2 linked regions of the Tamandua tetradactyla genome follow. The protein of the gene in region 1 purifies or fractionates together with the protein of each later gene. This does not show direct contact. Links are inferred from orthologs where the notes say so. Each region holds a gene or a part of one and is shown in the gene's direction. Other genes may lie near its edges.

Region 1 (3,600 bases):
TCACCACTCTTAGCGGCCTTTGCTAAGGTTTTTGGCGGCGCTTTGGATTAGTTCAAAGAATTGGGAGTGCCATGACAACTAGTGCCCAGAAGCTAGGGATACCAAATATCCTGCAATGCCTGGGACATTGCCACAAATAAAGAATGTTCGGTCCCCAACGCACAGAGCCCTATTAAGAAGGGATGATGGTCTCTAAATAACTTCCCAATGCTACAACTTCACTAAGCTTTGAGCTAAGAGGATCCACATCATAGACCAGGCCCTTGAAAACCCAACCCCATCAATGGCTAACTCAACTTTCAGGTTCCAAATTTTACTTCTTAGAGATACTTCCCCTGATGTCCATCTCGAATTTACTATTAAATTGTCTTGCTCTCTGTTAGTACTTGCTGCCATTCGCCACATCGAAATGAAAATAGTGGCCGTGGCTATGTGCCCACTAATATATAGCGTTTGGTGAGGTCACAGTTGCATTCCATAAATTTTTTGCATAAACATGAAAAACGGTGGCACTCAATAAATACTTTAGATGTAAACAAATGAATAGGCGACGAAAAGACAAGCCAGCAAACGGCGCGAAAAGGGAACTCGGCCGAGGCGCTGACGTCACTCGCAACTTCCGCCTCTTTCCGCTCCTCCCGGCGCCCCCTTCTCCTTGTCTGTGTTTGTTTCCGGCGTTTCAATAAAGCTCGATTCGGCTCGAAGGAGACTCGTTCTTCCGGGAAGATGGCGTCTCCCGCTCGTGCCCCGGAGTCGCCGCCGGCTGCGGGTCTGGCGCTAGCGGCGAGGTCTGGTGAGGAAGCCGACTGCCCGCCGCCTCGCCAGCCTCAGCCCCAGCAGAATGTCCTCGCTGCCCCGCGGCTTCGAGCCCCAGGCTCTCGAGGACTTGGGGCAGCGGAGTTTGGCGGAGCTGCGGGAGATGTTGAAGCGCCAGGAGAGACTTTTGCGCAACGAGTAAGCTTGGGTCCTGCCGGGTCACTGCCAGGCTCTTTTGGTCCCGGCTCCCTGGGAAGCTCCTCCCCACCCCGGGGTTCCCTTCCCGGGAAGGTGACCTTGTCTCAGATTCATTTCTGCCCCACAGGCGAGGGGACAGTCTGCAGCCGCAAAACTGCACCGCATTACGGCCAGTCACGCACTAGTCACACTGCCGGATGAGTAGGGTACTGGACTTGTGTTTTATCGTTTGAGCTGTTCATTACCACCTTGTTGGTTTTCTTTATCCAGGTGTTGTGGCGAATCCTTGAAGGAAAGGTCTGTGCTATAAACTCTTTCTGTGTCCCCCCTCTCCCCACAACTGGTGCCCAGTACAGTAAAGGCTCAATATCTTGTGAATTTCATCTCAAAATCTTTCTTTCACGAACTCTAGGAAGTGGGAGAAGTGGGATATGAAGAATGGTTTATTAAGCCGAGAAAGTTTGAACTCTCACTCAACCAGGGTAGTAATATAATAAGTAATTTTTTTTTTAAGGAAACTTCATTTAGCAGCTAAGTGGAGGATGGTTTGAAGGAATAAAAGGTTTAAGGCAATAGGAGGATATTTTCAGATAGGTTCCCAACAAGGGGATTTCTTAAGAAAGCGAATGAGAACGGTGGCCATGAGATGGAGAAAATTACATCAAGCATGGGATAATTTGAATATGTTGTTTCCAGCGTCCATGCTGGAAGTTTCCAGGTAAACCATTGCCAAAACTAGGAAAATTGGGGGAGGAGAAAAGGTCCAGGTTGAATTTGCTTAGAATGAGTTGAGGGAAGGGCTGAACAGACATTGAGTTAATTATGTCTAGTTAAAAGCTGGAGAAGTGGTCGTGGGGCTCTAGAGAGGAGACTGGAAAAATAGGGGAGTCTCAACTGCAGAGAAGTGTTAATAGTTGAAACTGGGAATGAATGTGGAGAAAGAAAAGAGGGCCTGAGATGTAACTTTTCCTTCCCGTGTATTATATAGCTAAAGAGAAAGGGAAATGGAAAAAAGACTCCACTCAGCAAAAAGGAAAAAATAATCATTTGGCACCTTCCTAATAGATAGGTGTTTTGATTTTGTGAGAGTGGACTTTTTAATGTATAATTCTCTTAACTTTTTCCTCTTAAACATAATTGACAATCCCGAAGAGCTCTTATATCTCTTATATCTATCAGTATTTATGTTTATTAGGAATTACAACAGAGAAATCTTTAAAACACAAAAATATACAAGCATACGTTCCACTAGTCATCACATCACAAAACCTTTGGGAAGCCCTACCCATATGCGAGCATGGGAGTGAAATAGTAAAAAAATGTCTTAGTATTTTTTTTTGTATGCTCTGTGGTGGGATCACATTTCATTATTTTTCCATGTGAGTATCCTGTTATTGTAGCACCATTTGTTGAATTTTTGTTTGTTTGTTTTTTGGAAAGTGCATGGACCGGGAATTGAACCCAGGTCTCCTGCATGGCAGGTGAGAATTCTATCACTGAACTGCCCTTGCACTCCTGTCTTAGTATTTTTATGAAAATAGTTTTGACCTTGCAGACAAGATGGCCTTGGGGACCACATTTTAAAAACTGTTACAATATGGGAATGCTTTGTGTTGTTATTGTATACTTAAATTACTTTTCTGCAGTTCTAGCTAGATGAGACAAAAATTATTCTCTATTCTTCCAGCAGAGTATTTGGGTAATGTCTTAATTTGTTTCATTCTTGTGTGGGGCAGTTGGAAATCAAATTTTTTGTTTAAAAGCCAGTTTTTCTCCTTTTGAGGATAATGCTCTGTTTTTTAAATTCCCATCTTGGGGTTAAAAACATGCCAGTGATGTATACTTGTTCTTTTCCATTTGACAGAAAATTCATTTGCAAATTGCCCGACAAAGGTAAAAAGATCTTAGACTGTGCTGCCAGACTGAAAGCAGCCCTTGCCGAACGTGAAGAATTTAGAGGAAAAAGCGAACTGTTTCATCCCGTTAGATTAGGCTGTAAACCAAGGCAAACTGTGGTTGTAGCAGTTGATGTGGACACAGATAAGACCCAGAATTCTGATCAGATACTTGATACTTCATCACTAATTCCTAACTGTTCCTCTGTGGATAACATCAAGTCATCTAAAACAACCTCACAAAAACAGGGAATTGCAGATCTCACTAACAAAAGCGATGAAGAGACCACAGAGGCAAAGTGCACAGTGAACGAGAGCCCAGGGTCGAGCGTCAGAATCGGTGCAACTTTCTCATCTATAGCTAGTGAGCATCTTCCTCAGCGTTGTGTTTCAGGTCAAGCAGAAGATATTTCCAGCAGCTCTGACAGCCTGTTTATTGATAGATTACAGAAGATCACAATTACAGACCAAGGTGAACACGGCTCTGAAGAAAACACAAGCACTACTAACTTGACAGATCTTCATAGCAGGACTCAGAAGAAGCCCCATTACGTGGAAGTGCTAGAAATGCGAGCCAAAAATCCAGTGCCCCCACTACATAAATTTAAAACAAATATGTAAGTACCATTGGAAATAGATCTAGCATAGGAACAATATTTGTTAGAATTTTTTTTTTTAAGGAGGGAATTTGGGCTTTGTGTGAAAACTACTTGTAGTTAGGAATGAATGTGTTTTGGAAATAGAGCAACAT
Region 2 (4,126 bases), about 18 Mb from region 1:
CCCTTTTTAGTTTACGGTGTGTTGGAGTGGCTAGTGGGAAGTACCTGCAACTGTTGAGCTGTGTTCTAGTAGCCTAGACTCTTGAAGACAATTATATAAAGATATAACGTTTACAATGTGACTGTCTGATTGTGAAAATTTTGTGTCTGACGCTCCTTATATCCAGGGTATGGACAGATGAGTGAAAAACATGGATAAAAAATAATAAGTAATATGGGGGACAAAGGGTAAAATAAAATTGGGTAGATTGTGGTCAATGGGGGGGTAAGGTGCATGGTATGTATGAGTTTTTTTTTCTCATCTTTTTATTCCTTTTTCTGGAGTGATGCAAATGTTCTAAAAAATAATCATGGTGATGAATACACAACTATGTGATGATATTGTGAGCCACTGATTGTACACCATGTACAGAATGCATGAGTGTGAAGATCTCTCAATTAAAAGAAAAAAAGTCCTAAAGGAACTCACAATCTATTAAAAGAAATAGTGCATGCTTGTTGAACGTAACCAGTGATGGTAGGTGGTGCATTCCAAATATGCTATGGAGCGGTTGGTAAGATTCCAGGTAATTCCAAGGAAAGTTCTGTGAGTAAGCCCATTGGCAAAGGTTTTAGAGTGACTCGGCTAATGCTTGGAGGAAGAGATAGACATTGGAGTGGGGGTACGGTGGCAGGGGAAAAGAGGGAAGCTTTCCAAGACAGGAGATCGCATGAACAGGATGCTTAAGAAACGGGGTAGTAACCTCGCAGGCAGAGAGGCTGTCTTCTCTGCCTTCTCCTCACCCCCTCCATTCCTGCACTGCTCCCTCAAATGTATCGTTTCTAGAGCCTCCCCTCACGTTTTCCTAGTTATCCTCTTCCTCGTCCATAAACACACTGGAGTGGTCACACTGTTGTGCATGTAGGTTTCTGTGGACTGGCTGCCTGCGGGCGTGGGTGCTGGGTGCAGGATGTGATCATCCGGCAGAGCGCGCGCAGAGGAGCGCCTGAGGAACCCTCGGCCTGTGCCACAGGTGTAATATGTGTGCTGCTCTACAACAGAGAGCACACCAGGGGCCTGCGCTGCTGTACAACAGAGAGATGTGTGCTCTGGGTGTTTTGTACAGAACTAACGTGGTGAGGGAAAAAAGCGGCAAAGTTCGGCGGGGGCCCACCTTTGCTCTCACGGGTCGGCGCCAGCAAGCACAAACCCCCAAGCGGGCGGGGCTAGCCTCGAATAGGCGGGGCCCGGCTGCGGGGCGGAAGCTGAAAGCCGGGGCGACGGAAACGCGCTTCCTGCAGGGCAAGATGGCGGCGCCCTGGTGAGCCTAGAGCAAGTAGGTGGTGGGGCTGGAGGGATGGGCCTTGAAGGACTCGGGCGGAGGGCCCAGGTAAAGGTTGTTTGGTTCCGGTGTCGGAAGCTGTTCTAGGATCTCTGGCCTGTAAAGCAGTGGCGTGGTCTTTTTGGTGCAGATATTCTGGGTAAACGGCCGTCCATCCACGAGCGACATAGATTTCATTCTCTCTGGGTACGGAGGGATAACTTCCGACCGCAGAGCCCAAGGGGCAATCGCCGAACCCTACTCTGAGCGGCGTCTGGCGCTGGAGGATAGGCTGCAACGTTAGAGAGTCCTGCTGACCCCTCAGAGGCAATCCTATAAAATCCTGTCGTGCTTTGTTAGTGCTACCCTGCTTACATTTGATTTGCTAGTTACGCCCGTTCGTACTGTAGTTCAAGGTATTATCACTTCTCTCATGGAATGATTCTGGACAAATCAGCTATGATTGTGGAAATAATGTACTGATGGCTTTACTTGTGACTTTACTTGCTATCTTTTACTGAAGCTTTATGTAAGTACCAGACACTCTGAGTTTTTACATTCAGTCCCGTTGCACAATCTGTATCCCTTCAGCTCCAATTACCCAATATCTTACCCTATTTCTATCTCCTGATAGTCTCTGTTACCAATGAGAGTCTCCAAGTTTATTCACTAATGTCAGTTCATATCAGTGAGACCATACAGTACATGTCCTTTTGTTTCTGGCTGATCTCACTCAGCATAATGCCCTCAAAGTCCACCCATGTGTTACATACTTCATAACTTTATTCTGTCTTACAGCTGCATAATATCCCGTCGTATGTACATACCACAGTTTGTTTAGCCACTTGTCTGTTGATGGACATTTTGGCTGTTTCCATCTCTTCGCAATTTTGGCTGTTTCCATCTCTTTCCGCCAAACTGCCTTCCACAGCGGTTGTACCATTGGACATTCCCACCAACAGTGGATAAGTGTGCTTCTTTCTCCACATCCTCTCCAGCACTTGTCATTTTCTGTTTTATTAATAATGGCCATTCTGGTGGGTGTGAGATGATATCTCATTGTGGTTTTGACTTGCATTTCTCTTATAGCCGGGGAAGTTGAGCATCTCTGCATGTTCCTTTTGGCCATTTGTATTTCTTCTTCTGAGAAGTGTCTGTTCAAGTCTTTTGCCCATTTTGTAATTGAGTTGGCTGTCTTTTTGTTGTTGAGTTGAACAATCTCTTTATAAATTCTGGATACTAGACCTTTATCTGATATATCGTTTCCAAATATTGTCTCCCAATGTGTAGGCTGTCTTTTTACTTTCTTGACAAAGTTCTTTGATGGGCAAAAGTGTTTAATTTTGAGGAGTTCCCATTTGTTTATTTATTTCTTCAATGCTCTTGCTTTGGGTGTAAGGTCTAGGGAACCACCTCCTGTTAAAAGATTTATAAAATATTTCTCTGCATTTTCTTCTAACAGTTTTATGGTCTTAGATCTAATGTTTAGGTCTTTGATCCATTTTGAGTTAATTTTTGTATAAGGTGTGAGATATGGGTCCTCTTTCATTCTTTTGCATATGGATATCCAGTTCTCTAGGCATCATTTATTGAAGAGACTGTTCTGTCCCAGGTGAGTTGGCTTGACTGCCTTATCAAAGATCAACTGTCCATAGATGAGAGGGTCTATATCCGAACACTCCATTCCATTCCATTGGTCAGTGTATCTATCTTTATGCCAGTACCATGCTGTTTTGACCACTGTAGCTTCATAATATGCCTTAAAGTCAGGTAGTGTGAGACCTCCAACTTCATTTTTTTTTTCTCAGAATACTTTTAGCTATTCGGGGCACCCTGCCCTTCCATATAAATTTGGTTATTGGTTTTTCTATTTCTGAAAAGTAAGTTTTTGGTAATTGGTATTGCATTGAATCTGTAAATCAATTTAGGTAGAATTGACATCTTAACTATATTTAGTCTTCCAATCCATGAAAACGGTATTCCCTTCCATTTATTTAGGTCTTCTGTGATTTCTTTTAACAGTTTCTTGTAGTTTTCTTTGTATAGATCTATTGTCTCTTTAGTTAAATTTATTCCTAAATATTTTATTCTTTTGGTTGCGATTTTAAATGGAATTCTTTTCATGATTTCCCCCTCAGATTGTTCATTACTCGTGTATAGAAATACTACAGATTTTTGAGTGTTGATCTTGTAACCTGCCACTTTGCTGTACTCATTTATTATCTCTAGTAGTTTTGCTGTGGACTTTTCAGGGTTTTGACATATAGTGTCATATCATATGCAAACAGTGAGAGTTTTACTTCTTCCTTTCCAATTTTGATGCCTTATGTTTCTTTTTCTTGGCTAATTGCTCTGGCTAGAACTTCGAACACAATGTTGAATAACAGTGGTGATAGTGGACATCCTTGTCTTGTTCCTGATCTTAGGGGGAAAGTTTTCAGTTTTTCCCCATTGAGGATGATGTTAGCTGTGGGTTTTTCATATATTCCCTTTATCATTTTGAGAAAGTTCCCTTCTATTCCTATACTTTGAAGTGTTTTCAACAGGAAAGGATGTTGAATTTTGTCAAATGCCTTTTCTGCATCAATCGAGATGATCATGTGGTTTTTCTGCTTTGATTTGTTGATATGGTGTGTTACATTAGTTGATTTTCTTATGTTGAACCATCCTTGCATACCTGGGATGAATCCTACTTGGTCATGATGTATAATTATTTTAATGTGTTGCTGGATTCGATTTGCTAGAATTTTGTTGAGGATTAGCACTAGTTTTCTATGTGATTCCTTTGGTCAGTAGGATGTACTGCTTTGTATTGTTCTCAGCCTG

What was found.
Region 2: the proteins of POLR2M (region 1) and RPAP1 purify together in Homo sapiens (affinity purification with mass spectrometry; 3 studies listed by BioGRID and IntAct, counting the BioPlex papers as one, with this or other methods). This does not show direct contact. The link is inferred for Tamandua tetradactyla from reciprocal best matches to the Homo sapiens genes POLR2M and RPAP1.

The regions. Positions count from the first base shown.
Region 1 is NC_135340.1:73,292,764-73,296,363, forward strand, and holds the start of POLR2M (protein GRINL1A), read left to right. Parts: upstream 1-707; 5' UTR 708-841; coding exon 842-954; intron 955-1,292; exon of another isoform or gene 1,293-1,580; coding exon of another isoform or gene 1,581-1,672; intron 1,673-2,818; coding exon 2,819-3,466; intron 3,467-3,600.
Region 2 is NC_135340.1:55,166,966-55,171,091, reverse strand, and holds the start of RPAP1 (RNA polymerase II-associated protein 1), read left to right. Parts: upstream 1-1,254; 5' UTR 1,255-1,315; intron 1,316-4,126. UniProt on the Homo sapiens protein: Forms an interface between the RNA polymerase II enzyme and chaperone/scaffolding protein, suggesting that it is required to connect RNA polymerase II to regulators of protein complex formation.